4 linked regions of the Arabidopsis thaliana genome follow. The protein of the gene in region 1 interacts with the protein of each later gene in a pairwise test. Each region holds a gene or a part of one and is shown in the gene's direction. Other genes may lie near its edges. The genes, in order: PAB5, CID4, CID8 and CID7.

Region 1 (7,258 bases):
CATCGGACGGTGAATTGTTAGTCATGTCATCGATGACGGAGAAGGAGAAGGAGAGAGATCCACCACCACCACATCAAGAGATTGAAGAGACTACTCCGTTGCTCGAAAATTCTCAACCGGAAAGTGAATTGAGATCGACGACCGCGGCGGCGAAGGTTCCTGAGGTGGAGATTCATCTGTATAAGTGTGGAAAAGGTCCGATCGATGTGTTCAAGTCAAATCTCGGCGGTTATGAGCAGGATCAGCTCGAGGTTCGATCTATTCTTGAGAAATATGGCTTGAAAGCAATCTTCGCTTTCAACGTTGAGAAAGGTCGTGCTGTTCCGATCAGATTTCACCCTAGGAATGGTCGGTCTGTGTTGCCTTATAGGGATGGTGCCGTCATTTACATCGACGGTGAACCTCAGGTAATCTGATTGTTTTGATTTTGAGTTTTCACTTACGCAATAGGAAAAAAGGACAGAGAACGATCTCCTTAGCTTAGTTATAGTTCCCTACTGATGCTTGAATGAATAAACTCACGGTGAATATTGTTGCATTGCATCTGTTGGACCTTCTCTGAACGCATGATTAAGGAATAGGATAGGACCCAATCTGCTTCTTGTCTCCTTTACATGTTCTTCATACCCTTGGATTGTAGAATTACTCTACATTGGCGTTCTGCATTTAGATAAGTTGATGGTTTTCTTTTGATTGTGCTCATAAACCTCATACATGTCTCTAGACTTTCTAGGCTTCTTTACTCTTCAATTGCCCTGGAATATCAATTAACGTGGATTCGGTGTCTCATGGAACCTTAGGTTTAGGTCAAAGCTTGTATTCTTACTTAAAGTAAACAATTTCTTGGAATCACTCCTATGGCTCATAGATTTAGAATACGCATGTAGAAACTAGAATGGATGTCATGGTATTCTGACTTCGTTGGGGCGTAAAAAGTCTTTGGATAATATTGTTGCAAGAACAGAAAAAAAAAGCATTAAAACATGCAGCTTTAATTGGGTGATTCATCTGATAACACTATTAATTTGAACACCTTTTGTTTTCAGGATTCCCTGCTCAAACCCATCACCAGAATCATTCTCGGAGTTGTGATTGTTACGCTCTTAATAACATTTCTATTGAAAGACCCTCCAGCTTGGATCAAGAACAACATCTCCATTGGGACCTTTCCTCCATGGGTGCTCGCATGCATAGTTATAGTTTTCACTCGAGCTAGAAAGAGAACCAGGGACTTCTTCAAGAAGTATGGCTGGTAGTTTCGCAGACCCTAACACTCGTCTCGCTTAAAATGTGGTCGAAATTTGTAGTCTTTCATCGACCATATATATAGAGGTTCTCTTGCCTTAACCCAACAAGTTCCCTTCCTTGGCAAGACTCTTCGTCTTTGATACGCCTTGAGGCGCCAAATTGCTTGCTTTCAGAACTAAGAGAGAGCAATCATTTTCTTCATTTGCATTTTGTTGAAGTTTATAGTTTTATGCATTTCCATGTGTAATGCGATTTGGTTTTTGCCATTTTGATGGAAACTGATACTTATTTTCTAAAACCCAATAGTTTGGCAACAAGCCTGTCCATATTTAATCTCTACATTCCTCCCTGATAATATGAAAATTTAGTCTTGTAACGCATGACATGCTCAGTTTCGTACATATGTCAGATAGTGTTTCAGAAATATCTAAAATGAATGACAACATCACCCATATCGAACTTACTTTTTGGTGGTAGAAAATATTTAGTCGACTAGAGTCTGACATTTTACTCTATTAATCACGAGTACTTAGCAATCTCTGTTCAATAGATTTCAACTGTTGTATTTATTGATGATGGAATTTTTTAAAGATCAAAATTGTCTCATCCACAAAATATTGTCCATGAATTCTATAGATTAGCCTTGTGGCATACCAAAAATCTGTCTCATGTTTTAAACAATTCTATGGAAATATGTTGATATTGATTTAATGTATAAAATTGAGTTTATCGCGGCTGCGTTGACGTTGCTGATAACATCCTGCTTGACACTATCTGGAATTCCTAATTTACTAAGAATTTTGATGATTTTAATAATATTATTGAAAGTGAATAAATGAAAGATTCTAAACTATTGTAGATGTTATTAGTTTAGAATTTGTAAAAAGTAATATAAAATCTTCATAAATCTGAAGTTATTTGATTTATATTTTTATAAAATTATTAAATATTTTGCGTTATTCAATTAAAACAAAATAATCTATGATTGTTAATGAATTAAATTATTCTGTTAATGGTTTATGATTTTTTACATTTTTCTTCACAAAATAAAATCATGAAAGTATCATCAAAATCGAGAGATTGTTTAAATTTTTTTACGAGATTGTGAAAAACAAATCAACAAGATTATAAAAAACTCTCTAGCAATAGTTTATAATCTTTCATTTATTTACTTTCTATGATATTATTAAAGTCATCAAAATTTCGTGTAAATTATGAACCAATAAAGCCTCTTTTAACAAAAAAAACAGACATGACGATAACAACAAAATAATTAAGAAGGAGAAGTAGACGGAAAAAAAAAAAAAAAAAGTAGAGTAATAAGATGTTAAGAAAAAACATAAATATCTATGTGGCACTAGATCTCATCTATAAGACGTTAGTCGTAGTTTTTTGCGAGTATATGAAGAGCAGACTTAACAGATTCATTCGGTTGCGGCTTCCGTTTAGAACGCATGATCCCTTCTACTTCTTCGTCAAAATTGTGTTCAGTTTTCTTTATTTGTTTTAATGATTGTTGTATTTGGATGGTTATATATCATATAAATTTAAATTTTTATAATATAATATAATTGATTATCATTAAAAAAAAAACATGTGGCATTGGATTATTGGCCAGGACAGAAAAAGCCCATTGGCCCACAAAAAGATCCCAGATGTGAATTAAAAAGCTGAGTCAAAACTCAAAAGCCACGTCAAATCAAACTCTGATCCGTAGGGACCGGTTGGTTAGCGAATGTATAAATACCAACTCTCATTCTTTCACACCCTTTCGAGTCTCTCTACTCCTCTTCTTATTCACCGGAGTAACCCAAAAAAAAAAAGGAAAAAATATAAAAATAAATATTCTCCCCTAAAAATTTTGGAAAACCACAAACAGAAATCTCTCTGTCTCACCCTAGAAAAACCTAGAAATCTTATCGCTATGGCTGCGGCGGTTGCATCTGGAATTGCCCCGACGACGGCCATGGTTGATCAAGTGATCCCTAATCAACCCACGGTTGCTGCTGCTGCTCCTCCTCCTTTCCCTGCCGTGAGTCAGGTTGCGGCGGTTGCTGCTGCTGCTGCTGCCGCGGAGGCTTTGCAAACCCATCCAAACTCGTCTCTCTATGTCGGAGATTTAGATCCGAGTGTCAATGAGTCACATCTCTTGGATCTCTTTAATCAAGTTGCTCCAGTTCACAATCTTAGGGTTTGTCGTGATCTGACTCATCGTTCTCTTGGTTACGCTTACGTCAATTTCGCTAACCCTGAAGATGGTAAATATTATAAACAATCATACAGGAATTTAATATTATTATTATGGATTACGACAGGAATATAATATTGTTCATGTGTTTGCTTTTGTGGTTTTGTTCTTTTTGCTGTTTTGTTTTGTTTTGTTTTGCTGTTTTGTAATTAAAGTTTTGTGTTTTTTTATTGGATCAGCGAGTCGTGCGATGGAAAGTCTCAACTATGCTCCGATCAGAGACAGGCCTATAAGGATCATGCTCTCTAATCGTGATCCGAGCACTAGATTGAGTGGGAAAGGCAATGTTTTCATCAAAAACCTTGATGCATCGATTGATAACAAAGCTTTGTATGAAACTTTCTCGTCTTTCGGGACGATTCTCTCTTGCAAGGTTGCAATGGATGTGGTGGGACGTTCGAAAGGATATGGCTTTGTCCAGTTTGAGAAAGAGGAAACCGCTCAGGCTGCTATTGACAAGCTTAATGGTATGTTGCTTAATGATAAGCAAGTCTTTGTTGGCCATTTTGTCCGTCGTCAAGACAGGGCACGTAGTGAGAGTGGTGCGGTGCCGAGCTTCACTAACGTTTATGTTAAGAATCTTCCTAAGGAGATTACTGATGATGAGCTTAAGAAGACTTTTGGGAAATATGGAGATATTTCTAGTGCGGTTGTGATGAAGGATCAGAGTGGGAACTCGAGGTCTTTCGGGTTTGTCAACTTTGTGAGCCCTGAAGCTGCTGCAGTTGCTGTTGAAAAGATGAACGGTATCAGCCTTGGGGAGGATGTGTTGTATGTTGGTAGGGCACAGAAGAAGTCTGATAGGGAAGAGGAATTGAGGAGGAAGTTTGAGCAAGAGAGGATAAGCAGGTTTGAGAAATTGCAAGGATCGAATCTGTATTTGAAGAACCTTGATGATAGTGTGAATGATGAGAAGCTCAAGGAGATGTTCTCTGAGTATGGGAATGTGACTTCCTGCAAGGTTTGTTTCTGATTCTAAACATCTCTAAACTTTATACATAAGTTTATACCACACAATATAATGAATTAAAATGTTTTGTTTGTGGTCATAATTAGGTTATGATGAATTCACAAGGTTTAAGCAGAGGTTTTGGTTTTGTTGCTTACTCCAATCCTGAAGAAGCTTTATTAGCTGTAAGTTTCAACTGAATTGACAATCTTTTTACATATACATAAATGTTTTATAAAATTGGTACTAAAATGTTCATTGGGGTTGATGATTACGCAGATGAAAGAAATGAATGGGAAGATGATAGGAAGGAAACCTCTTTACGTTGCTTTGGCACAACGTAAGGAAGAAAGACAGGCTCACCTTCAGGTTCTTTTTAGCCCTCTCACTCTTTGAACATCAAACTCTGTACTGTGTTGTGTTGTGACACTGAGTTCTTAAACTGTCTTGATGTTTTCACGTGTTTCAGAGTCTATTTACTCAAATCAGATCACCTGGAACAATGTCACCAGTTCCATCACCGATGTCTGGGTTCCATCATCACCCACCAGGTGGGCCAATGTCAGGACCACACCATCCAATGTTCATAGGCCATAACGGTCAAGGTTTGGTACCTTCACAGCCTATGGGGTATGGGTACCAAGTTCAGTTCATGCCTGGGATGCGTCCAGGTGCAGGCCCGCCTAACTTCATGATGCCTTTCCCTCTTCAAAGGCAAACTCAGCCTGGCCCTCGTGTTGGGTTCAGGCGTGGTGCTAATAACATGCAGCAGCAGTTTCAGCAACAACAAGTAAAGTTTTTATCATTAGTTCTTATGTCTTTTAGCAAGTTTATTATCTTTAACACAATCATACGAATATGAATTTGTTGGGGCTTGTTATTATCTTGGAACTGTCAGATGCTGCAGCAAAATGCAAGCAGATTCATGGGAGGCGCAGGCAACAGGAGGAATGGAATGGAAGCATCTGCTCCACAAGGCATCATCCCTTTGCCATTGAATGCATCTGCAAACTCTCACAATGCTCCGCAACGCTCTCACAAGCCAACTCCCCTCACCATTTCTAAGCTCGCATCTGATTTGGCTTTGGCTAGCCCCGACAAACACCCACGGGTTAGTGATCTCCTGTGTTTTCTTCTCTTATCTCATTTAGTACTTGCATTATAACCTATATTTGTTAACAATATCATTGCATTGTGAATTGATGACAGATGCTTGGGGATCATCTTTACCCACTTGTGGAGCAGCAGGAGCCAGCAAATGCTGCTAAAGTTACCGGGATGTTGCTGGAGATGGATCAAGCTGAGATTTTGCACCTTCTTGAGTCACCTGAAGCTCTTAAGGCTAAAGTGTCCGAGGCTCTGGATGTTCTCAGACGCTCTGCTGATCCAGCAGCTGTGTCATCTGTTGATGACCAGTTTGCTCTATCCTCATCCGAGTGAACATACTGTTTACTCAAGACTATGTTTCTCTCGCTTTCTTAGACAGTTGCTTTAATACCTTTTAGGACCTTTAAAACTAGCTTTTTCTTTTCTACATCTCTTTGATAGATTGTTTTGAGTTTTTCCCTTAGCATTGAGACTTTTACTCTTTAGCACTTTCTCTAGTTTCGTTAGGAGTCTATTTAATGTGTCAACTCTTTTGCAACTCCAAATTCGTTTCAGAAACTTTACATTTAGCATTTTATCTAATAATCGGCATTCTGGTTAAACATTCTGATCACATGAAATCTGGATGTACCTCGTCGTCTACTATCTGATATTCCGTATTTATCTCCATTACTGCTCTGTCCCATCCTCCTACTTCGTCATCCTTCAAGGCCTTTTTAACACCAAATCGCGGTGGTGCTTGGTGTTCTCCTTCGTCATCGATTAAGTAGGCGTCCCATTTCGAAGCTGGCTTAGTAACTCTTTCTGACTCTAGATTCCTCTCTTCCATATCCTTCTTCCTCGTCACTACTTCATCTGCAACACATTTGAAGGATAGGAGAATATTGTTTTAGTAAAACCATTCAGGCCTTTAATAAACAACATTCGCAACGGCTTTACTTGAACTAAACGCTGATATATGGCCAACATATGTAGCAGAACTCCTCTTACCGGATCGAAAATCCGGCTTTTTGATGCTGCGTCTGGAGAAAGAAGGCTTGAAGATCTCATTACTGTCTTTATTCTCACCTCCTGTATTTGATGATGATCCACCAGCATTAGACTCTTTGTTCAGCTTTGGCCTTTTGAACATATTGCTTGGCATCTCAGTGACAATCTTCACATCTGCAACAAAATCGCAAAACCAAGTACATATTTATCTATTTTGTCTCATAAGATGCTTGATTCTCGAATTAGACTCACCGTCTTCTTCTCCAGCTAATCTCCGGCGATCATTTACTGAATCGAAATCGAGGTATTGACTCCAATCAGATCGCTTCTTCGTTCCATTAACCTCCTCATTAACCTCTCCTTCAACATAAACCTCTGGAAACGAATCTCCAACAGCATGTGCCTCTTCATCGGCAACTTTGCGAGACATATTAAACGATTGGACAAAGAAACGAAGCTCCTTAGCCTTATAACCTTGAGCAAACACCTTTTTCACTGATTGCTTCTGATTGCATATCACACAAACCCACTTGTTACTACTTTTCTTCTTCTGCTTCACCTGCGAATTCGAACCCCAAAACAAAATCCCTAAAAACTAACCAATATATAAATTGACAGAGATAGAAGAGGAGGGAGCGAGAGAGTTTAATACCTGCATAGTTGAACACTCGTAACATTGGAGAGCGATGAAGAGAGTACTCGCCATTTTTTCTCCT
Region 2 (8,720 bases), on another chromosome or scaffold:
GAAAATTAGGGTACCAGGATCTGTAGATCAGACCTAGAAACGACTTCGCATTAAAGACTCTTCTTTTTTTTTAAACTCTCTGGGTCGGTTTACTTGTGGCTTGAAAGCTCTTATCAGAGAGATTGAGTGAGATACACTCTTAAATCTCAACACTTTATGAAATCCAAAGCCGAATGCAGAAGCAAAATGCAAAAAAGCTACGAATTTTTGGGGAGAGATAGAGAGAGAGAAGAGCTTTGATATTTGGGCTTTGAGATCGTCGGACACTGTGAAAGTTTGCGCACAAGTGTGGTGTTGTGTTCCTCCTCCTTCCTAATTCCTATATTAAACAAAAAAGCTCTACTCTTTTCTTTTTCTTCAGAGAAAAAAAAACAGTAATGGCTATTTTCAGATTCGTCTTTAAGTTTGATACTTATGGATTATTATGACCAAAACCAAAAAAAAACAAAAACGTAACACAGTTTTTACTAACATAGATTAACCAATTGAATAGTTCTACAGCTTTATTGCTATTTTTTAATATCCGCATTTTGTCAACTTTTGATTTATTATTTATATTAAATTACTTAGTTTTGAATCGTCTTGTATTTCATTTGCTAACATAACTAGTAGTATATTCTTCAATTTTACTGCTTTGAGAGTGAAGAAATCGGACCAAGAAAATTTCAAATGTTATTCTCTTCTTTATTTCCTAGTTTTTTTTCTTTATTCTCTTTTCCCTTTTCTTGCTTTTTTTTAAAAAAAAGAACAAATAAAACTATTTTCATAGAAATAATGAAGCCGTGCAAAATATCCATGGTGTGGCCACATATTGACACGTGCATTTTTAAATGATTTTGGCTGTCTAATTTTGCACCCAAATAAAGGAAAAGAAAAAGGAAACCAAATAACTAATCCATTTTGTTATCTGTCAATTTTCTCAATAACGAGTATTTCATAATTTAAGACAGTGACTCTGGGAAATGTGACAGAATGTTACTAGTTGGTAATTACTCCTAATTTATTCAAACATTTAGAGGCAACTAGTCGTTTAAATTATTTTAAATCAACTGCATTCAAATATGAATGCAAAAACCTAAAAAGGAATATTTACGAGTCTATATAATGTCAGATTTGGTCACAGGAGCGCCGTGAAGCAACGGGCGAGAATTAACTACACTCTGTGGAGTTTCTTACCATACACTATTTTACAATTCGTAGTTAATGTTTTTAGTTTTTTTTTTGGCTTGCTTTCTCTATTTTTTTCACTAATACAGCTGAAACATTTTTTTAAATTAGGACAAAAGAAAACAGTTTTTATAGCAATGAATGATCAGATCCGATACTGCAAAATATAAATTAATTTAATTTTTACCATACCACGTGAATGATCTGTGTTTTCTTGTTTGATATTGTTCTTTCTCTTTCCATTTTAATGTTAGCTCGTATCTTATAGCTATAACTATGACCTATCCGTTACAAATAATACTTTATGATGATCTCTCTTTCACCCCATGTTAAATTGAACATAATACTCGTATAGTCTTAAGATTTCTGTCTTATCTTTTTCAAGTGTATGTTCCAACCAGGTATCGTGGTCTGGTGGTAAAGGAACCTCGACTGAGACGTCCGACACCCGGATTCGATTTCTGGTCACCAGAGAATTAACATGCGGATTTGCTCTAGCGCCTCAGACCACCAGTTCCAGGGAGCCATTAAGTAGATGTTTAAAAATTCCTGGTCGCGGGCTTAAACCCAGTGGACTAGTCAGATCACTGTGTGGTCTGGACACTAAGTTGTCAAAAAAAAAAAAAAAAAGTGTATGTTCCATTGCTAATTAGAGAGGTACAACTTTGAAAAGTGTAATGTTTCATACATGTAACTCTTATACTTTTTATTGGCCACACCAGTTTTTTTGTATTTCATCATTTTAATAATATTTCAGAATTCTCCAACTAATCCATGTTTAAGTAATTTTGGAGTATTTTTCTAGTGATGCTTTTCTGATTATATATTTAATTTGATCAATTATGATCATTAGTATTTATGCCTAGCTTTATGGTGACAAATAGCATATTGCACCTTAGAAACTGAAAAAAGGTATAAAGTGATTTTATCAAAAATAAAAACAAGTGATGATGAGACATGCAAATGAAGCATGTAATATTTAGATTCAAGCTTGTTATTATTAAATAATCATTTAAACTTTATAGAGTTGTTTTTCCAACTAAGCCTATTAATGCTTTTTCCCCCAACCTTTTCTGTCTCCTTCAAGGCTTAAGCACTTTCATTATAACCCATTTTGAAAGTCAAGTTAACATTATCCCCATCATTAAGCAAACCATACCCTTTTAAAAGTTCATTTCGAATTTGAAGTATCCTTTGCTTCAGGTTACTTGCTTTTACAAAAACTCTTTATTCTTGCTGATTTCTTTCCACAAATGAAATAAAGGTAAATTACAATCGAAGGCTTGATCCTTTATGTTTTATGTGTGTTAAAAGATTTAGAAGTTCTTAATGGCTAAGGTAAAATGATCGATCAAAGAAAAGAAAGAAAAGACAGAAAAAGAAAACATAAAAGCTTGACATTCAAAAGTTGAGGCCTATAAAGTTTCTCAAACTCAGTTTATAGCCCATGTTGAGCCCATTAAGGCCCAAATATAGTTGTACCATGCACTTGCCCGTAGGTGATTGGTACTCTACACAACGATCTGTTTCGTGTAGCTAGCTGTTCTTTCCTTTCATGATTTTGCTTCCTGCGGAAAATCAAAGAGTTAGCTCAGCTCCGATCACTCTCTCCGATTATCTTTCGCTCTTTAGATTCATGGTGAATCGTTTACCGTCACTCTCTCCTCGTAAACCCTAGCTCTCTCCGAAACCCTAACTCGCTGCGTTGGAAACTAATCGAGCTCGTCCCTCTCCTTTCGGAAGCATTTCTTTAATCGGTGTTGCAGAGGCGTTTTGGTTTCTGATCGGGTTAGCTTTCTGAGGTAAATATCCTCTTCTTCGATTCTTATATCTGGATTTTTAGTTTATCTTCATTGCTTCTTTATTCTTCCGCGTTATTGGGAATTTGATGATTTAGGGTTTGTTTTACTGGAATACCTAGCTCTAGCTCGAATACGTTGGAGATCCTATTTCATGATTGCAGATGATTGTATCTTTGATTCACTGTTATGCCTTCCTTTTTTTGCGTCTGTTTGTGCTGAAAACTCTTTGATTTTGTTTCCATTTCTTAATTGTTTGTGCTGCGGATTAATGGTTGAAATCAACACTATCTTTCTTTCTTTCATCCACAACGTTTTCTAGACTAATCGGCATGTTTGATGAATGAAGCCAAGCAAGTGTTGTTTTATGTTTATTTTTCTGTAATGGCGATGCGAGGCTGTTCACTGATTGTATTTTGCTGTTAGATAGTAATCATCGGTTTCAATGGTAACCTTCTATTTATAGTTTCTGCGTCAGTTGAGCAATTACGAATGTCATGGGTTTCAATAACTGTTTTTTTTTACCCTTGTTAGTTAGAACAGTCTAAGGCTGCAATGAGTATTCCTCAGTCGAAATCTTCATCAAATGGATTTCCACTCAAAAGAGGTGAAACAGAGGAAGTTTTACATAAGACAAATACATCAAATACAGGTTAGCTGTTGATATTCTGTGATTTATGTGCAACGTCATATTCTGAGTCCTCATGCATGTTGATATGTATTCAGTATTCAATGGGGAAGCTGGAAGCTTGAAGAGGCTTTCACTTGATCGGTTAGTGTACTTCACAACATGTAAGATCGGGCATCATGTGGAAGTGCATCTAAGGAATGGATCAGTGTATACCGGTATATTTCATGCTGCCAATGTAGAGAAGGATTTTGGTGAGGCTCTGAATCAGAATTTTTTTCCTTATAGAGCTGCACATACAAATTCACACTACTTTTTCTTGCAATGTATAAAATTGCTTGAAACTTCCAGGAATCATTCTAAAGATGGCATGCTTGATTAAAGACGGTACTTTACGAGGACATAAATCCCGTTCCGAATTTGTCAGGAAGCCGCCTTCCAAGACATTCATTATTCCGGCAGATGAACTTGTGCAAGTTATAGCTAAGGTGTGCCTGCTTTTATAAACTGAAGGGAAATATTTATTGTTTTAAGTTTATGTCAATGTGTTATATTGCAGAGAGACTACTTTGAGTTTTGACATTGTCATTACTTTATATCATTGATTTTGGTGTTAGGATCTCTCTGTATCCTCGAACAACATGTCAAATGCGGTTCAGGGTGAGAAACCATCGGAGCTGTTGACAGACTCTTCTATATCACAGTCTTATCATGTTGATCGGGAAAGGCAGCTGCAACGCTGGGTACCTGATGAGACTATTCCACACGGTGCAGATTTGGAGAATGTGTTTGATAACCCTTGGAATAGGTAATATACGCACACACACACACACACGCACATATATATTTAAATTTTTTGTCAAATTTATACTTATTGAATGTTTGGTATGTTGATTTGTCAGCTAGATTTTCAGATCACGGTTTCTTAGCTGACCAATTTAGATGAGAGATGGTGGGAATGAATAGATTATGTTTGTGCTTGCACTTTAGAAATTCCGTATATTCCTTTTGGAAAGCAATTCTCTTTCTATATCTAAAGCTAGAATTCTACTATTTAGTGAAAGCATATATTATATTGTGAGGAACAGCCCATGGTGAATGTCTCAAAGATTAGGAAGAATATTGTTTTGATAGTTATGTTTCTTATATATGAGTAATCTTTGCTGTGTGGTTACCTGTCTTTTCTGTCCTTGATATCTCTCAGCTGATCCGTTTCTGCTTGTAGGAAATGGAATCAGTTTGAGGTGAATAAGTCACTGTTTGGAGTAAAAAGCACTTTCGACGAGGACCTCTATACCACAAGACTTGAGAGAGGTCCTCAGACTAAACAGTTGGAAGAGCATGCCCAGAAGATTGCGAGAGAGATCGAGGCTGAGACTACCCGAGATATTCATGTAGCAGAGGTAATTTGGGGGTTTGATTTCACCTTGATTCCTATGTTTTTTTGGTGTTATAAGTTTAAATTCGTAACTATTCATGCATGCAGGAAAGAGGCCTTCAGCTTAATGAGAACTTTGATTTTGACGAGGAAGCCAGATACTCATCTGTCCGTCCAGTCACTGGATTTGGTGATAGTGGGTTTGATTTGGAGGACAACGCATTGCTGGATACTTGCAACGATCTGACTTTTGGTGGCTCATCTACTTCTGATGGCCAGAAGCCAGCTTCTAGTGGCAAGGGCTGTGAAGAATTACGGGTATCGGTGAGTTCGTCTTTGATAGTAGTTAATAGCTGAACGAGTTGGTGATGTTGCTATTCATTTTCTTTCAGGGTGACAGTCAGTCTTCTCGGAAAAATAAAAATGTAGATCAAAGCTGCTCAACCTCTAAACAGCAATCCAAAGATTTTCCTGCCGCAGGCAGCAATATCAGGTCTTATTTTTCTTGCAATTAAGCTACACATCTGGAAAATCATCTAAAATATATCTCACATTGGGAGTTCCTCTTGGCATAATAGTGAGAGCCAGCTAGATGAGCAAAGAAGAAAGAATAACGAAGAGGTTTCACACAATAACAGAGTAATGACAAGTCCATGTTGATTATGCCGTTTAATCATGATTGCATTTTGCGTTTCATTGTTGTTCTATAATTTTTAACATTGGTTATTTGGCTTCCTTCTGTATTAACATAGTCAGCTGAGGAATCAACTTCTGGTCATGGAGGTATACGCTACTTTCATTTTTATTAACATACGTGTTTTCTTGTTGTATACGATGAATTACCTTTCATTTTTACTAGCATGACTCCAGTTTTTCTTGATCTGACGCTATAATTTATTATCACGTTTATCTCAATGGACAATCTATGGTGGATTCTGTTAAGGTTGCTAAATGGAATTTAGAAATGTTCTTTTTTACACAAGGAGTGGTGACCTGTTATGAAACGTCCATCTAATTAGGAAACTGGTTGTAGGCTTTATGTAAATATGTATTGTGGAATGTAGATATCAAAGAAGGTGCAAAATCTGGTGGTGGTGCATCCTCGGTGTCTAAGGCTGTTACTGAGAGAGAAAGAGAAGCCAGTCAAGTTTCTAGTAAAACAAAATCTGAAAGCTCTTTCGGGCAGTCTGCTTCTAGAAGTTCAGAAAGTCGCCCAGGTCCTTCAACATCAAGTCGTCCTGGGCTATCACCGAGCTCGTCAATTGGTTCTATGGCCTCATCAGAAAAGTCCACACTGAATCCGAATGCAAAGGTATTTTGTTTGATGTTCAAACTTGATAAAGTGTTAACTGTGTGTGTGTTTTTACTAATTATGGGTCGTTGGGTCTGATCAGGAATTCAAACTCAATCCAAAGGCTAAGAGTTTCAAACCATTGCAGTCAGCTGCTGCACCACCTCAATCTCCAATCGCAGATGCCTCATTCTACTACCCTGGTCCTAGTCATGTTCCTGTTCAGCAGATGCCTGGAATGCCGCCTGTTAATTACGGAGTAAGTTCCGTTTGTTATATATTATATAAACCCAACCGAGTTATGTTTTCAAAACTCACCATGTGAAAATTGGCAGCTCCCGCCATATCCTGGCAACCAACCACAGATGATGTATCATCCTCAAGCCTATTATCATCCAAATGGACAACCTCAGGTTTGACAGTAACACACAAGCCCTATTGAATTACTATTCCCACACACATACACAAAAAAAAAAAAAAAACATCAAAAGTCTAATGGTGATTGGAATTGGAATTGTGATGTAGTACCCACAGCAGCAAATGATACCTGGTCAGCAGCAGCAGCAAATGATACCTGGTCAGCAGCATCCTAGGCCAGTTTATTACATGCATCCTCCTCCTTACCCGCAGGTTATTATTTTTGCTAATAGTAGATTCCCTCTTTTTGTTCTTTTTTTATTTTTCTTTTACATAGTCGAAGAGTTAAAACTTTTGGATGCTGAAATCTCATCTCTGTATGTGTGTGTTTTGCAGGACATGCCATATCATAATAAAGGACGAGAGTAATAACTACTACTACCCGATGGTGATGATGTTTTTTTTTTTTGTGAAGGAAGTGTACGAACCCCTCTCTGGTTTTATCCACTCTCCCTTACCCAATCACTGAAACCATTTTCTTCTCTTTTTTAGATTCGCCTACTGATTTTGGTATTTCGTGTTGAAAACAAAAAGAAAGAAAAAAAGAAAGAAAAAAAACGATCTATCTGAAGTCTGTAGTACTGAGTGCACTCTCTCCTTTTTTTTGGCTGTATCAGAGATATAAAATTTAGAGTGTAGGTTGCTCTCATGCGTCTTTTACTTCGTCGTCTGCATATTTTTTTGTGTGTGTTGTGCTAAATTTCTGGGTGATTTTGTTATCTAAAATCCAAAAAGGATGCGGTTTAGATGAAAAGAATAGAAGAGTAACAACGATTTCAAAGCAGGCAGAACTAGTCATTTTTGGTGTTGTTGTAGGGCATGCTTTTTTCAATAAGTCGTTAAACGTTACTATAAGTAGTTGTCTCGCGATTATTATCATGATGATCGATATGACTCGGTGTATATGATTTGGTGGGCAACACATTCATGTTTTAAGATTCCACAAGAAAAAAATAAAATGGAATCAAACCTAGTTTTACCAGTCGCATATATTATTAGGTTAGGTGACTGCATTGAGTTGTTTATTTTTTACTTTTTTACGAGTCTCTCTCAACATTTATTGTTTTTGCTTTAAAGTGGAGATTTTAACCGTGGCTTGAGCTTGACACTTACGAATGATGTTGGGTCACCAATCTTCATCTAGAATTTACCTTATAATCACTTAGTTCAATTGCGAATCATGTTTTCGATGTATTTTCAACAACTTTTCACGAAACCAACTAACATATTTTACGGTCATCCGCTATGATAGAAAAACCGATGAATTTGCTAAGTTTGTTTCTTTCTTTTCAGTATGGATACCGAAATGAGACAAGAAAACAACGAATATTCAACTACAATACCTTACTTGTAATTGTAATGCTCTTTAAGAATCTATCAAAACTCATCGTTATGCAATTACTGATTTATTTCATGCGAGAAAAACCAAAAGTCCGGTCAAACAAAAAGGCAAGTGTGTCCTTATGTTGTGACGACGTGGTTTCATCATCCAAACACCGGACGTGAATATCACGCGCGCGTGGATTTCGGAACAGCGATGTGGCGGCTGTGAATACAAAGATATCAAGCAAGGTACACAGAATGTGTGTCTCTGTTTGTTTCTTTAATGGGACATTTTCACTTCATCAGAATCTGATCTCACCGTAAGCCTTTATACATAGTTGTACCCACTTTTTCTGTTTTAATCTTAAAGTTTACTATTTTTTCTAGTTGATAAAATGGAGTACTCATTATTTGTTACTAGTAGTAATTAATAAGGACAGAAAAAAAAAAAGGAAGAAGACAAGAGTGGTTCACAATCATAATGTAAACAACGAATAATAATAATTAATGTCCAGGTAAAAAGGTAGTGTTCATGGTGAATTAGTGGTGGCAAAAAAGTTGGTACTACTGGGAGAAAAAAAAAAAAAGGTTAGGTGAAGCTTTTTAGCCATAGCCAATAATACTACTCAATTTTGCAGAGACAGTGAAATGCTGAAATTGATAAAGAGAGAAAAAAAGAAGAAGAAAGAAGCCATGTTTTGAGGAAGGAGACATGCA
Region 3 (6,616 bases), 7.0 Mb from region 1:
AACCAAATCGCATTGTAACAGAACTTTACCAAGATTGTCAAAGTTAAAAGCTTTAAAATCTACTAATGTCCACCAGATCTAATAAAATCAAATCTTGAGCAAAAAGACTGCAAATAGAAAACATAGATCCAATAACATATGAATGTGAGATTTGACTTAAAACCTTATTGAAGAAGATTTGACCGCTAGAGAGAGTGATGTAGAGAAGAATGGAAGCATACGTCACATGTTCTTCTCTAAGAAAGCCTCTGATCCGACTTCGATCCGCCATTAGAGTCAACAATCGTTTTGGTCTCAAATCAGCAAAAGATATTGCGATTCTCATTTGGTATGTCTTCTTCTTGAATATTCAATAGTACCTCACTTTTCCATCTTCTAAGCAAACTCTTTAAAGTTGACTAAAAGTAACGAAGAAATTAGCGGATCCCTCTTTAAATAACTTCTTTTCTACGAAATCCGTTTTAATTTATAAAGATGGGTCGGGTACACGGGTCATAAACACATAATGAGAGACTATGGGCTTTTGTTGACCAGTAAAATTAAAGCCCAGTATAATATCATTATTTTTTTATTTTTTTTTTATATATATCATTATTCTTAAAAGGGAAATTTGCAAAATTGACTAACAAAAAAACTATAATTAAGAAACTAACCAACAAAAAAAACAGAGACATTTTGTATATAAACTATAATATATACTAAAGTACCCTTAACTATACAATCACCATCTCTTCTATGCTATTACAACCATTACCCTTGTAACCGTCATCATCATTGCATCCACCACTATTTCCACAAATGTCATACCATCATCACCATCACCACTGCAATCGTCACCACCATAGAAACTACCATTACGCTGTCATCTCTACCATCATCACCATTATTGCCGCCGCAATTGACACACGACCACTGCAACCACCAACACAAATATTACTACGACCTACACCATACACACCACCACCACCTTAATCACTTCTTCCTCTCTTCCATTGCTTGTTTCACCTCTCTCGCCTCTCATCTTTTTTTTCTACTTTAACTTAATTAAAACAGAACCGAACTATAGTTTTCTATTTTACTTTCAATTTTGTACCATTCTATTTGCTAGTTAGAACAAAAAAAAAATGAAAACGAAGACTCACAAGATCTTATTGAATATTTTCTGGTTTGATCAATATATAAAATTGAAAATCCTTAACACAAATTTAAACCCAAAATCGAATCGATTTCAATTCGCTTTAGGAAAGGAGAAAAGAGATTAAAAGTATATAAACATGATTTTGTCAGATTTCTAAAAACTGAAACTTGAGATGATTTCATTTAGTTTAATTATTTTTGTTTGGGTTCCATATATAGTATCTTAGGGTTTAGTTTTCTTAAATCAATAGATGTTTTTAAATTAGAATGGATTGATATAAAAAATTTAAATTTTCTGGAAATTTTCTGTTGGATGGAGAGAAGAGAAGAAGCAACGAAGAAGATGATGAATGAAAAAGGTCTGTTAAAAAAACATTACCTTTAAATCAATATCTGATTCACAATCCATTACCTTTAGAACATATAGAATATTACCTTTAGATCAATATCTGATCAACAAAACGAAGAAGATGATGAGTCATGGCAAATTGGAAAATAAGGAAATAATGCAGGGATAGACTTGTAATTAGTTAGAGTTTTTGGTTACTTGCTGAATTACGTAAATTATATGGCTATATTTTTAATTTTTTGTCCTAATATGGCTATACAGCTAATTCACCCTTCTTACAAAAACTTTTTTTTTTGGGTGCAAAATTCTTACAAAGCTTTGGTTAATCTTTTCAAATCCCCAACACACGAAGCTCTTATAGACCAACTCATTAATTTTAAACACTAAAACTCGTAATCTGAAGAAGTGAAGTGAGTTTAAATTTATGAAAACTCTAAATTTGTAATTTGAGTTTTGGTAAGAAATTGATAGTTTTTCTATGCAACAATAAAAAAATGCAAAACAAATTACACACTTAATACATCGTTGCAAAGTCTTACATTTTTTGTTTGTATTTTTTTTTCCTGACGAGAAACCATTCAAATTTTATATTAGAAAAACCAGAAAATTATCATATTGTTGTGTGGTTACTGTTATTAGGGATATCAATACAAAAGTAACTGCAAACCAAAATTGAAATGTAAAATAAAATAACAAAATAGAATAAAAGCAGATTATAAAAGTGGAACTATAAAATCCCAGCAATAGTTAAAAAATATATTAAAAAAAGGAAAAAATCCCCCAACGAATCCAAAGATTTATGGACTAATTATTATAACAATTGCTTGCAATTATGAAGAAAATAAAAGTTTATAAAATAATCAAAATTTTGTTGATGTGTCAAACTAACAGTATCTAAAAAATAACACATTTCAATGCAGTCCATATGAAAGACCACACCCTATCTAATATCCATAACAAAAATAATAACATTTTAACAATTATATTAAATAATAATATTAGTAATGTGTAATATATTTCTTAGCAAAAAAAGTGTACTAAAACTACTAAAGATTTTTTTCAATATAAAAAATGTAATAAACTGGTGTATGTGTAAAATATGTAATTATCTAAAGGCCCTCAAGAGGAACATAAAATAATAAAGAATCATAACTTTTCTTTTCTTTTTAATTTTACATTTGACGAAATTAATTAAGAAAAAAATCTTAGTCCGAAAAAAAAGAGAAGCACTCTTGTTAGAGAGTTTTGGTCTATTTGATTGAGCTAGAAAAAGGCCTAAGCAACAAACCAAAACCCATCATTCCTTCTTCTTCTTCTTCTTCTCATCCATCGCCACCTTCTGAAACCACCGCACTAGATTTATATATTGTCTACGATTAAGCATTCTCGTATTCTGAAATGGGTGTTCAATAAAACTCGATTAATCTCATCAAATTTTGCATCTTTTTTACGAAATTCGACTGAAGAGAGAAGGAAAAGTTCGCAACTTTTTCTTTCCTCTGTCTCTTGTTTTTTGTTGAATTGTGATCCTTTTTGTTGTTTTATATTTTTTTGGAATTTTCTGATCTAATTAATGGCTGCGATCACTGAGATGGCCACTGATTCAAATGACGTAATCAACGATGGTGGAACTGGAGACGGAATTGAGAAGAGCACGGATTCTAAACCGGAAATCGAATCGGATGACCTCAAACCCAAATCCAAACCGGAATATGATCAAATGAAGAAGCTTGTTGCCATGTTCAAGAAACTCAATCCTGAAGCTAAGGAGTTTTTCCCTTCTTACAAGAGGAATACTAATCAGTCTGACGATTTTGTGATTGCTATAAAGCCATCTGGTGAAGACAACAAAAAGGTTGCCATTAACCGGAGGGTACAATCTCTCTTCTGTTTCTGATTATATTTTGATTGGTAAAGTTTGGATTTTTGGTTGACCTCTAAATGAGGTTTCATTCTAAGTGGGTTTAGGTCTTTGTGCTGGAAAGTCTCTAGCTTGAAGTTTCATATAGAAAGTTTTGTTTTTTGATCTGGTTTGGTTGGCTAATAGTTACATTGTCAAGTTTTGCAACTCTTATATGATCGTTACTTAACATTTCATTAAGAGTTTTGGTAAATTGTCTGTTTTTTGTTTTGGCTTTGTGGATTACAGAGAAGAAACAACTATAACCAAGGGAGGAGAGTGAGGTTACCTGGAAGAGCTTCTAAGGCTCAAAGAGAAGATAGTATTAGAAGAACAGTGTATGTCTCTGACATTGATCAGAGTGTAAGTTACTTAAACCCTCTTTTTAGATTTTCAGAAAAAAGATTCAGTTTTTCAACATTGTCACCTATTTTTTTTTTTTTTTTTCAAATAGGTGACTGAGGAAGGCCTTGCTGGCTTGTTCAGCAGCTGTGGACAAGTAAGTTGAAATCTATAAGCTTTGTTACCGGTTTTCATCTTTTGTTTGTTAATTAATATTACATTCTTCTTCTGAAGGTTGTTGATTGTCGAATCTGCGGGGATCCGAATTCAGTTCTTCGCTTTGCGTTTGTTGAGTTTTCTGATGACCGTAAGTTAAAGCTATTGGATTTTACTTAATCTTCTTTACAAACAAAATTCAAGTGTCAAGTTTGAGTTACATTAGTATGAATTTGTTTTGAAAAACAGAAGGTGCACGATCGGCTTTAAGTCTTGGTGGAACAATGATCGGATATTACCCAGTTAGAGTCTTACCTTCAAAAACTGCTATTCTTCCAGTGAATCCCACATTTCTCCCCAGGGTAAAAAACAAGAAGTTCCATTTTTCTCAGCCTGCATAGTAGCTTACAGTTTTAGAAACAAAAATGATGGTTTCCACTATTTCCTTTGGTGTTTTATTCAGTCAGAAGATGAAAGAGAGATGTGTTCAAGGACCATCTACTGCACAAATGTTGACAAGAATGTAAATACTTTTTCTCCGTTAAAGTTTAGATTGCGTTTGCATACTTGTTCTCGGATTTGAGAGATTCCTATAAATTGCAGGCCACTGAAGATGATGTCAATACCTTCTTTCAGTCTGCCTGCGGTGAGGTCAGTCTAGAATCCGAAAACTTGCTTTTTCTGCTCTCATAAAGATAATATGAAATTTGTAAAACAACAATAACATTCAACTTTTTTCTATCTTCTCTCTCTGTACAGGTTACTCGCTTAAGGCTTCTTGGTGACCAAGTGCATTCTACTCGCATAGCTTTTGTTGAATTTGCCATGGTAAACTCCTGTTAAAACTCAGCTTCTGTGTCCTCTTTTGTTAGTGTTAACAAGTAAAGCTGAACTTTTCAAGGCTTAGTTTTTACTTAACAACTGAATATGCGTTTGTTTACGGGATAAAAAGGCAGAGAGTGCAGTTGCAGCGCTAAACTGCAGCGGAATAGTCTTAGGATCTCAGCCGATAAGGTACACACATTATTTCTCTTTTGTGACAAACCTTTCATTGAATATAAAAACAATTTGAAATGAAATCTTTTGAATTCTTCAGGGTAAGCCCTTCAAAGACACCAGTGAGATCGCGAATCACTCGATCACCATCGCCAAACTAGGAGAAAACAGAGGCTTTGTTGATGAAGGAGAGTGATGCAACAATATTCAGTTATTTATTCTTTTTCAGTTGTCTTTCTTTTTCTAGAGCAGTTGTTTTCCAATTATGTAGTTTCTGGAAAGACAACAACCATGAACATGCTTCTTGGATTTTGAGTTCTTGTTCTGAGTTCTTTGACTTATTGAGTCATATCATCTTTCTTTAAAGGTTTTTTTTTGATCATTTTTGTTGGTTCTTAACTAAAAAAGTTTAGAATTTAGGAGATTTTAGATTTTACTATTTATGTTGAAGTGTTGAACGCTTAAGTTTTGGCATAATCATTCTCTTCATAGGAGTTTTTGGGTCAATGGAAAAGTATATTTCATTTTCCGTCAGGTATCAAAATCCAGGGATGGAACTGCAAAATTAAATTTTGGATCATTTTCTTTGTAATGTGCTTGAATTTGGCCTAATGTCTATAACTATGGGGGATTTCGACAAATCGAAAAGTATAAATCTCTTCCCATCAGGTACTCAAACTACAGGGATGAATTTACAAATATGCAGCAATAAGTCAACAGAAACGGCGACGTTTCGGAAAACCCCCATTTTCCGATTAACACAGTAACTCAAAACCCTCAAATCCTCAATCGCCAGTGTTTACGAAAGTTCTTGAAATTTGAAGAGATCTCACAGATGAGAAGTGCTATAGGAAGAAGATTCTCAAACCCTAATGGCTTCACCATTGCATCCTTAGTCAAACAAACTCCATTTCTCACCCAATCCACATCTCATTTCTCCTCTTCCTCCGACTCCTCCGGCCGTGGTCGTGGACGCGGTTCCGGTGAAGATGGAGGATTTCCCGCCGCTGGAAGAGGACAATTCGGTGTAAATCGTGAACCGGTGGTTCCTGGACGTGAACCGTCATCTGCCGGAGGTTATGGTCATGGTCGTGGTCGTCCGATCCAATCTGATTCGATTTCTCCTGCGTTTACGTCATTTGTCAAATCAGATTCTCCTAGTATTGGCCGTGGAAGAGGATCCGTTGGATCAGACACCGTTTCACCTTTCGCTGCTGAACCTCCTCGCCAATCGCCGCCTCCACCGCAGCAACAACAGTCTCAATCGCAGCAACAGCGTTCACAACCACAACAGCAGCAGCCGCGTTCGCAACCACAGCAGCAGCCTAATGATGAATCTCAGGGAAGTCCTGTATTTGTGAAGCTGCAGGAGATGCAGGACGCAACTTCGTCTCCACCACCACCAGAGTCTAAACCTGGTCAAGCTGATCCACCTGATAACATATTCAATGCATTAGGAAACGAATTTTCACATCCTAGTGGAGCAGGTCGAGGAAAGCCTCTTGTGGAATCTGCTCCAATCCGACAAGAAGATAACCGCCAAATTCGACGCCCTCCGCCTCCACCGCAGCAGCAGAGAGTACAACCTCAGCAGAAGCGGGCTCCAACGGTCAAAGATGGAACTCCTAAGCCGCAATTGAGTGCGGAAGAGGCTGGAAGAAGAGCAAGGAGTGAGCTTTCGCGTGGTGAAGCTGAAGGAAGCAGTGTGGGAGGAAGAGGAGGGAGAGGGAGAGGGA
Region 4 (7,179 bases), on another chromosome or scaffold:
TAATTTCTCTAGAAGTAACATGTTGGGGGAAGGAGGGTTTGGGCCGGTTTACAAAGGGTTTATTGATGATAAGGTTAAACCGGGTATCGAAGCCCAACCGGTTGCTGTAAAGGCTCTTGATCTTCATGGCCATCAAGGCCATAGAGAATGGCTGGTAACATTTCTTTCTCTTTATGTATGTTTTTGTCTACATTCAAGACTTTTCTATTCACAAGGAACAATTTAATTACGAAGACCGTCTCGATTATTTTATATATTTTTTGAATTTTGGTTTATCTTCTTAATTAGCTATATGAATCTGGCCATTTTTCAGTATGTTATTAAATATATATATCTTTTGTGAAATTTCTTCATAAAGTTTTTTTTTTCAGTGTATACAAAATTTATTTTTGTTTGCAGGCGGAGATATTATTTTTGGGACAACTAAGTAACAAACATCTTGTGAAGCTGATAGGGTTTTGTTGTGAAGAAGAGCAAAGAGTTCTTGTTTATGAGTACATGCCTCGAGGTAGCTTGGAGAATCAGCTCTTTCGAAGTACGTCATCTACTATATTTTTACCTAACTTGCTAAAAGTTGTTTCAATTTTTGCTATATATGTTCTAGACCGCGTTACAAAACATTTTTTCTGTTTAAACCTAAAAGAACAACTCCACGAAGACTTTAATTACGTTTTAGTTATAGAATGACAAGAATAAAAAATATTGAAGAAAAGAATCCATATGGTTCACGTTAACTTCGTCAAGTTCTTACTTTATTTATGGGTCGTACACTACATTAATAACTTCTTAAAAAACTATATATTTTTTATAATTTAGATAATATTCAATAGTATTACTAACTTTGAAAAGTGTGTGAATTGGGACAGGAAATAGCTTAGCAATGGCTTGGGGAATAAGGATGAAGATAGCTCTCGGAGCCGCCAAAGGTTTAGCTTTTCTCCATGAAGCAGAGAAACCTGTCATCTACAGAGACTTTAAAACCTCTAACATATTGTTAGACTCCGTGAGTTTTTTTTTCCTTTTTAAATTTTGTATCCACTATTAAATCAAATTAAAGTGGTATTTCTCAACTGACTCTTTGATATTTCAGGACTATAACGCCAAATTATCTGACTTCGGTCTAGCCAAAGATGGACCTGAAGGCGAACATACGCATGTAACTACCCGAGTGATGGGAACACAAGGTTATGCTGCGCCCGAATATATCATGACTGGTAACATTTTTGTAAGGAATTTATTTCTTTTACCGTGAAGCGATATTCTTTGAGATATGTCTTTAATGGTTTACATGTGTTGTAGGTCATTTGACGACGATGAATGATGTATACAGTTTTGGAGTAGTTTTGTTAGAGCTGATAACCGGAAAACGGTCAATGGACAATACCCGAACACGGAGGGAACAAAGCCTAGTGGAATGGGCGCGGCCTATGTTAAGGGACCAAAGAAAGTTAGAGAGGATAATTGACCCGAGGCTCGCGAACCAGCACAAAACAGAAGCGGCTCAGGTAGCTGCTTCCCTAGCATACAAGTGTCTAAGCCAACATCCTAAGTATAGACCTACAATGTGTGAGGTGGTTAAGGTCTTAGAGTCTATCCAAGAAGTTGATATTAGGAAGCATGATGGCAATAACAACAAAGAAGGAAAGAAGTTTGTTGATATAAATAAGTTTAGGCATCACCGTAAAGGCAAAAGACGTGTGAACATCGCTTATTCAGATTCTCTCGTTTACAAGGAATCCAAGGCAAAGCAAAACGATGGCATTTGAAATACATCATTTTCTCATATGAATTATTAAGCATTCATATTCTATGAACGCAATTCTTATCTTAAGTTATGACCATTCTTCCAAAAATTTGAAGGAAAGAAAGGTGATGTTATAAGTATCCTAGTTCTCTGGTATTTTAGATTAATTTCCTTTACATAATTCAAAAATACTTTGTACAAAAGAGTCATGTACAAGAAATATAAAATAAATGTTTGTAAATCATATATATATACACCAGTTTGTTGGGCGGACAACGTTGAAGTTATTTCGCTCTTTAAAACATAGTAGATGATCACTTGGTTGGTTATTATGGAGATTGGAATTGCAATAAAATCAAATCATGTATGGTACGGCAGCTACCCCTAGATTATTCTTGGTGATTCCAATGAAATTATGAGCTCCTCGGAGCACTCTCGTTTTCAAGATTACATATGAAACCGTTTGGGTATATTTGAGTTTCAGAATGCTGTATAAATGTAATAAATTATTAAATTTTTATATTTATTTTATCTATATCAACAATAAGTATACTTTTTTCCCTAGATGACTTAAATTCAAAGCAAATTAACAATAACAATCAGTTTGAAGATTATTTTTCCTAAATATAAATATAATTGTATAAACTTTAATTAGATTTTTAAAATAATAAGCTAATTCAGGATATTCAAAATATATAGAGAAATCTTATTAAAAAAAAAAATTAGTTGAAAGGAAATAGTTAACCTAATAAAAGCAAGTAATCAAAGCCCAAAAATTTACAATTAAAACCCTTAGTGATAAGGATTAAGTGTCATTAGTAGTTAATAAATAAATGTTGTAGATAGATGGAGTCACTAAAAAAAAAAAAGGTCAAAACGAGAGGCGCAAGGTTTGGTGTCTTGTTAAATAAATCTTGTGGTGCTCGTGTTACCTCTTTAGCCAAACAACACCCCCAAACAATTACTCTTATAGAGAGAGTAGAAGAAGACGACGCTTACCCCAAAACTCGAATCCCTAGGAGGTAACAGCTTAAGCTCTCCGATTACCCCAAACTGCAAAATTTCTCATCTTTCTCTCTCTTTATCTTGTTTTCAACAGCAGCCTTTACCTTTTTCTTTTAACCTCTGATCTTGTTATCTTCCATGGATCCATTTCCTTAAAGGTTTGCTCTTTCTTTCAGAGATATTCTTATCTCTACGAATCTCATCTTGATTTGGGTTCTTCTTTTTTGTGTGGTTTAATAAATCACAAATCTGTTTTTTTCTATCTTGGATTTACTTAAAAATCTTGTTTTTAATAAAGGGTTTTCTTTTATTTCAGTCATTTAAAGATACCCTTATTCTAGAATTTAGTAGTTGTGTTTCAAATTTTAAGTCTTTATGTGTTTGTCTGGTAAGAACTATAAAAAAGCTGCAATGGGTTTTGACTTATGAGTTTGTAGCCACTGAAAATGTATCTCTTTTTCTTGTTTAGGTTTTGGTAATATGAATTGAGAAGTCCACGCACGTGTGTATCTCTATTACCGTCAGGTGTGTTACCTTTCTTCTCTGAGTAATTTGTTTGATTAAAGCAAAGTATTTTGCAGGTTTCTTCTTTGAGTAATTTGACTTAGAAAAGCCAAACTCTTTTTTTTGCAGATTTTGGTTTAAAAGCAGTTATTTTTACTAGTCTTGTAAGAATGAGTTTAACAAAGAAAGCAAGTGAACCAAAGCTAAGTGGTACTAGTATCAAGCCAACAACTTTAAACCCTCATGCTGCTGAGTTTGTTCCGTTTACTCTACGTTCTCCTTCATCTGGAGGTACAAGTACTTTGGATACAAGACTTTTAGCTTCTTCTAGTTCTGTTGGGAAAGCGGTTTTGGACAGGACAGAATCATCTGCGTCACATCATTCAGATGAAGAAGCACGTCAGTTCTGGAGTCATCAACTTCCTGATGATATAACTCCAGATTTTGGGTTGATGACTCAAGATGACAATTCTTATGGATCTGGTAGTTTGTCACTAGCTAACTTGTCGTTGTTTGACGGTAATGAAGCTGAGAAGTTTCCTTCTGCTAGTGGAGGATATGGCTTTTCAGATCAAACTGGATTAGCTTCACATAATGCTAATGGTAATAGCTTGGCTGATAAGAGTAGATATCCCATTTCTTCATTTGGGGAAGATCCTCAGCGACAGAGTTTCATGCAACTGAGTCCAAAGCCTTGGGATAAGCAAATCATGAATGCTGAGCAGCTTCTTGGGAATGACAGGGAAAGAAACCCTTTTAGTGGGAAATCTCGACATGGCTTTGTTAACGACATGATTACTGAGAGTCCAGGGGATATGGAGGTGAACCCTGTGGATTTTCTCGCTTCTCAGTTCCCCGGATTCGCCGCTGAGAGTCTAGCAGAAGTTTATTTTGCTAATGGGTGTGATTTGCAGTTGACAATTGAGATGCTTACTCAGCTTGAGGTATTCTCCTATTCAATATATGGCATAGCTTTTATTGATGTTATGTTATTAAATTCTATGTTTATTTTCTTCTCTGTATAGCTACAAGTGGATGGTGGCTTGAATCAAAACATAAGCCCTAAGACTTATGCTCCTCCTAGTCTAACTCCAATGGATTTTCCTGCACTAAGCATCTCAAATAGCCATGGTATTCCTGCCCAGTTTGGTGGGGATGATTTGCAACAAACTGGAAATCATTACCAATCTCCTGAAAAGGATAACATGTTCTTCTTCAAGTCGGGACCATCGGTTTCTCAGCCTGGTGCAATCGATTATGTTTCTGCTGTCAGGAAGTTAGCATCTCAGGATTCTGGTATGTGGAAATATGAACGAAATGATTCAGCAGACTCATCTATTGGCTCTAGCAGGAATTCTGGTGCTTACAAAAGTGGCCGTGGGAGGAGTATATATTCTGATAAGCTGCAAAGTCGAGCCCAAACTCGACCTGCTCCTGTTTGGGTGGAGACCGGGGATGCTGTTGGTAAGTTTCTTCTTTTAACAAACTTTATTGCATAGACAAATAACTATATGAGTCTTGTTATACATCTGTATTGAACATATGTTATCTTATTCGACGATGTTGCATTTCTGGCTCTCTCTTTTATCTGGGGATGAACAGGCAATATGTATTCTGAGTTACGCGAGGAAGCACGTGACTATGCACGTTTGCGGAATGTGTACTTTGAACAGGTATAATATACTTGGAAATGACATTTTACTCATTTATGTGGCCTCTAGTTGTTCTGCAGACCTGTTGTTTTTTGCAACTGGGAAGTTCCATTTGGTACATACCTGTCTATTAATGTTAAGGCCGTGTAATGTGGCCTAACCTTGAGGTCTATTGTCCAGATTGATTTTTGGAAAATACTTCGGGTGTATGGCGTAGTGAATCATAAGTATTTGGAATCTTGCGTGCAATTTATGATGATAGTTTATAAAGCTTTTTGTCAATGATGGGGTTTTCACCGGTTTTATTACTTCGACGTCATCTTATTAACCTGTTATCTTTCTGTCTTAGTCATGTACGCTCAATATTCTATGTTGCTTCTGGTTGAGCGTAGGCACGACAAGCATACCTTGTTGGGAATAAGGCCTTAGCCAAAGAGCTAAGTGTTAAGGGACAGTTGCATAATATGCAAATGAAGGCTGCTCATGGGAAAGCTCAAGAAGCCATTTACCGCCAGAGGTTTGACTTCTTTACCTGCACTGCATCTCCTTGTAACATGATCTTTTATCCGAAACACACACTGATATCTCCATAAATGAAAAACAAAACTCCTGTTCTCAGTATCTCTGTTCTAACCTGCCTATGAGTAAAAAATGAAACAGGAACCCAGTGGGTCAAGGAAACAGTAGAGGGAATGAGAGAATGATAGACTTGCATGGGTTACATGTGAGTGAAGCACTTCAGGTGTTGAAGCACGAACTGAGTGTGTTGAGGAGCACAGCTCGAGCAACGCAAGAGAGGCTTCAGATTTACATATGTGTAGGGACAGGCCACCACACAAGGGGTTCCCGCACTCCGGCTAGACTCCCAGTTGCTGTACAGCGCTACCTACTCGAAGAAGAAGGTCTTGACTATTCCGAACCACAGGCCGGTCTCCTTAGAGTCATCATATACTGACAGACAAAAGCCAGGTACTTATATAGGATACAAGACCGGAAAAGAAAACAAAAAAAAGGAAAGGTGACCACGCTATTCATTTGTTGTATCTGATCTGTACATGGGAAGAGAGGAGAAAGAGACTAGCTGAAAATGAAGAAGGAAAAAAAAAAGTGTTAGGAAAGAGATCCGCAAGAAGGAAGGAACGAAGGCGTATGCATAAAATGTTTAGGTTTGTTCAGTTAATACTTTTTGTAGCATCAGAGGATCGATCAGACCTCTTTCTATCTTTTTGTCGGGATCTATACGATGTTTTGTTGATTCTCGGTGCTTTTTTTTTTTTACAGTTTTACTCTATATGTTATACTCCTTTCTTCTGGAAATGCTTATATTTGTAATTCTCTTAGATTTAATGTGCATCACTAAGTTACAAATTCATGAGTCAAAAAGTAAAATTTTGTACTTTAAAAAGCTTGTTTCCAGTTATGTATTGTAAAAGAGAAATCAAGCTCTAATCATAAGCTCATAAACATTACTGTTGTTCTCTCCATTCACTCGCTTAAGCATTTCGAAACTTTTCCTGCTTCCTAATAACTCTATTCTTGGGAAAACCAAGCATCCTTCATCTGATGTCTCTTTGCTGCAATACACTGTTCTGAGACGGTCAGCGTGCCTCGAGTCTGTGTGAATTGCAACTTCTATTTCATGATCCGGCAAGTTCTCCTGCAGAATCAATAGACACAAGAGATCTTCTTATTGTGAACTAAACGGTAACATGGGCCTAGTGAGTCAACAGAGATAGTATAAATACTAATCACTCATAAGTTCCTAACTAAGACGAAGAAATTGATTCTAAAGACTCTCCTTTTCATAGCAACTAAAAGGAACTGAAACGAGAAATTGGCCATTCGAATATGATGGTTATACCTGGTAAAATCTGTAGATATAGTCTAAGATTTGCAGGCAAGTGAAACCACTATCACTGAAATAAGTCCGTGAAGAAGGTCCCATCTCCGAGAACCGATCAGCTGGATATAGAATTGTAAGGAAGCTGTCTTTAAATATCACTTCTGTCTTCTCACTGCAGAAGAGCGCCCAGGAAGAAAAAAAAGATAGTTGACCACAGTGAGATATTTCCAGGATTGCAACAATGGCAGCAATAGATAGTAGTAGACTATCACTGGAACAATTTACTTCTAAAGTAGCCATGTAAAATCTAAAAAATGAAGGAAAAGAGATGTACGAAGAACGAAACAGTACCTCTCGGTTAGTGCTCTGGTTGAATTTGAAAAAGAAGCCACTGGATCTAACCCTTTATCTATCCCATCTTGTACAACAGA

The links.
Region 2: the proteins of PAB5 (region 1) and CID4 interact in a two-hybrid assay, tested with the Arabidopsis thaliana proteins (one study listed by BioGRID).
Region 3: the proteins of PAB5 (region 1) and CID8 interact in a two-hybrid assay, tested with the Arabidopsis thaliana proteins (one study listed by BioGRID).
Region 4: the proteins of PAB5 (region 1) and CID7 interact in a two-hybrid assay, tested with the Arabidopsis thaliana proteins (one study listed by BioGRID).

What each region holds. Positions count from the first base shown.
Region 1 is NC_003070.9:26,989,404-26,996,661, reverse strand, and holds PAB5 (poly(A)-binding protein 5), read left to right. Parts: upstream 1-2,402; 5' UTR 2,403-2,559; intron 2,560-3,054; 5' UTR 3,055-3,172; coding exon 3,173-3,506; intron 3,507-3,675; coding exon 3,676-4,457; intron 4,458-4,552; coding exon 4,553-4,630; intron 4,631-4,724; coding exon 4,725-4,814; intron 4,815-4,914; coding exon 4,915-5,235; intron 5,236-5,343; coding exon 5,344-5,556; intron 5,557-5,654; coding exon 5,655-5,885; 3' UTR 5,886-6,137; downstream 6,138-7,258. Other genes in the region: AT1G71780 (WD repeat protein), read left to right, coding at 24-407, 1,047-1,256; AT1G71760 (uncharacterized protein), read right to left, coding at 6,163-6,407, 6,492-6,716, 6,795-7,101, 7,195-7,248. UniProt on the Arabidopsis thaliana protein: Binds the poly(A) tail of mRNA. Appears to be an important mediator of the multiple roles of the poly(A) tail in mRNA biogenesis, stability and translation.
Region 2 is NC_003074.8:4,633,643-4,642,362, forward strand, and holds CID4 (CTC-interacting domain 4), read left to right. Parts: upstream 1-2,649; 5' UTR 2,650-3,411; coding exon 3,412-3,414; intron 3,415-3,500; coding exon 3,501-3,618; intron 3,619-3,692; coding exon 3,693-3,848; intron 3,849-3,945; coding exon 3,946-4,082; intron 4,083-4,211; coding exon 4,212-4,402; intron 4,403-4,819; coding exon 4,820-4,997; intron 4,998-5,080; coding exon 5,081-5,296; intron 5,297-5,364; coding exon 5,365-5,465; intron 5,466-5,550; coding exon 5,551-5,611; intron 5,612-5,724; coding exon 5,725-5,755; intron 5,756-6,036; coding exon 6,037-6,284; intron 6,285-6,366; coding exon 6,367-6,522; intron 6,523-6,598; coding exon 6,599-6,676; coding exon of another isoform or gene 6,677-6,682; exon of another isoform or gene 6,683-6,755; intron 6,756-6,788; coding exon 6,789-6,893; intron 6,894-7,016; coding exon 7,017-7,049; 3' UTR 7,050-7,484; downstream 7,485-8,720.
Region 3 is NC_003070.9:20,027,687-20,034,302, reverse strand, and holds CID8 (CTC-interacting domain 8), read left to right. Parts: upstream 1-2,683; 5' UTR 2,684-3,059; coding exon 3,060-3,359; intron 3,360-3,635; coding exon 3,636-3,749; intron 3,750-3,840; coding exon 3,841-3,885; intron 3,886-3,962; coding exon 3,963-4,035; intron 4,036-4,133; coding exon 4,134-4,246; intron 4,247-4,347; coding exon 4,348-4,407; intron 4,408-4,487; coding exon 4,488-4,535; intron 4,536-4,643; coding exon 4,644-4,712; intron 4,713-4,836; coding exon 4,837-4,898; intron 4,899-4,980; coding exon 4,981-5,041; 3' UTR 5,042-5,380; downstream 5,381-6,616. Other genes in the region: AT1G53660 (nodulin MtN21 /EamA-like transporter family protein), read right to left, coding at 164-325; AT1G53655 (uncharacterized protein), read right to left, coding at 802-912, 1,517-1,546; AT1G53645 (hydroxyproline-rich glycoprotein family protein), read left to right, coding at 5,716-6,616.
Region 4 is NC_003071.7:11,186,824-11,194,002, reverse strand, and holds CID7 (CTC-interacting domain 7), read left to right. Parts: upstream 1-2,605; 5' UTR 2,606-2,766; exon of another isoform or gene 2,767-2,907; intron 2,908-3,218; 5' UTR 3,219-3,274; intron 3,275-3,382; 5' UTR 3,383-3,423; coding exon 3,424-4,197; intron 4,198-4,278; coding exon 4,279-4,717; coding exon of another isoform or gene 4,718-4,752; exon of another isoform or gene 4,753-4,855; coding exon 4,856-4,926; coding exon of another isoform or gene 4,927-4,932; exon of another isoform or gene 4,933-5,297; coding exon 5,298-5,422; coding exon of another isoform or gene 5,423-5,498; exon of another isoform or gene 5,499-5,565; coding exon 5,566-5,860; 3' UTR 5,861-6,277; downstream 6,278-7,179. Other genes in the region: ARSK1 (root-specific kinase 1), read left to right, coding at 1-154, 400-535, 867-1,003, 1,091-1,214, 1,300-1,766; AT2G26270 (BRCT domain DNA repair protein), read right to left, coding at 6,344-6,562, 6,767-6,920, 7,100-7,179.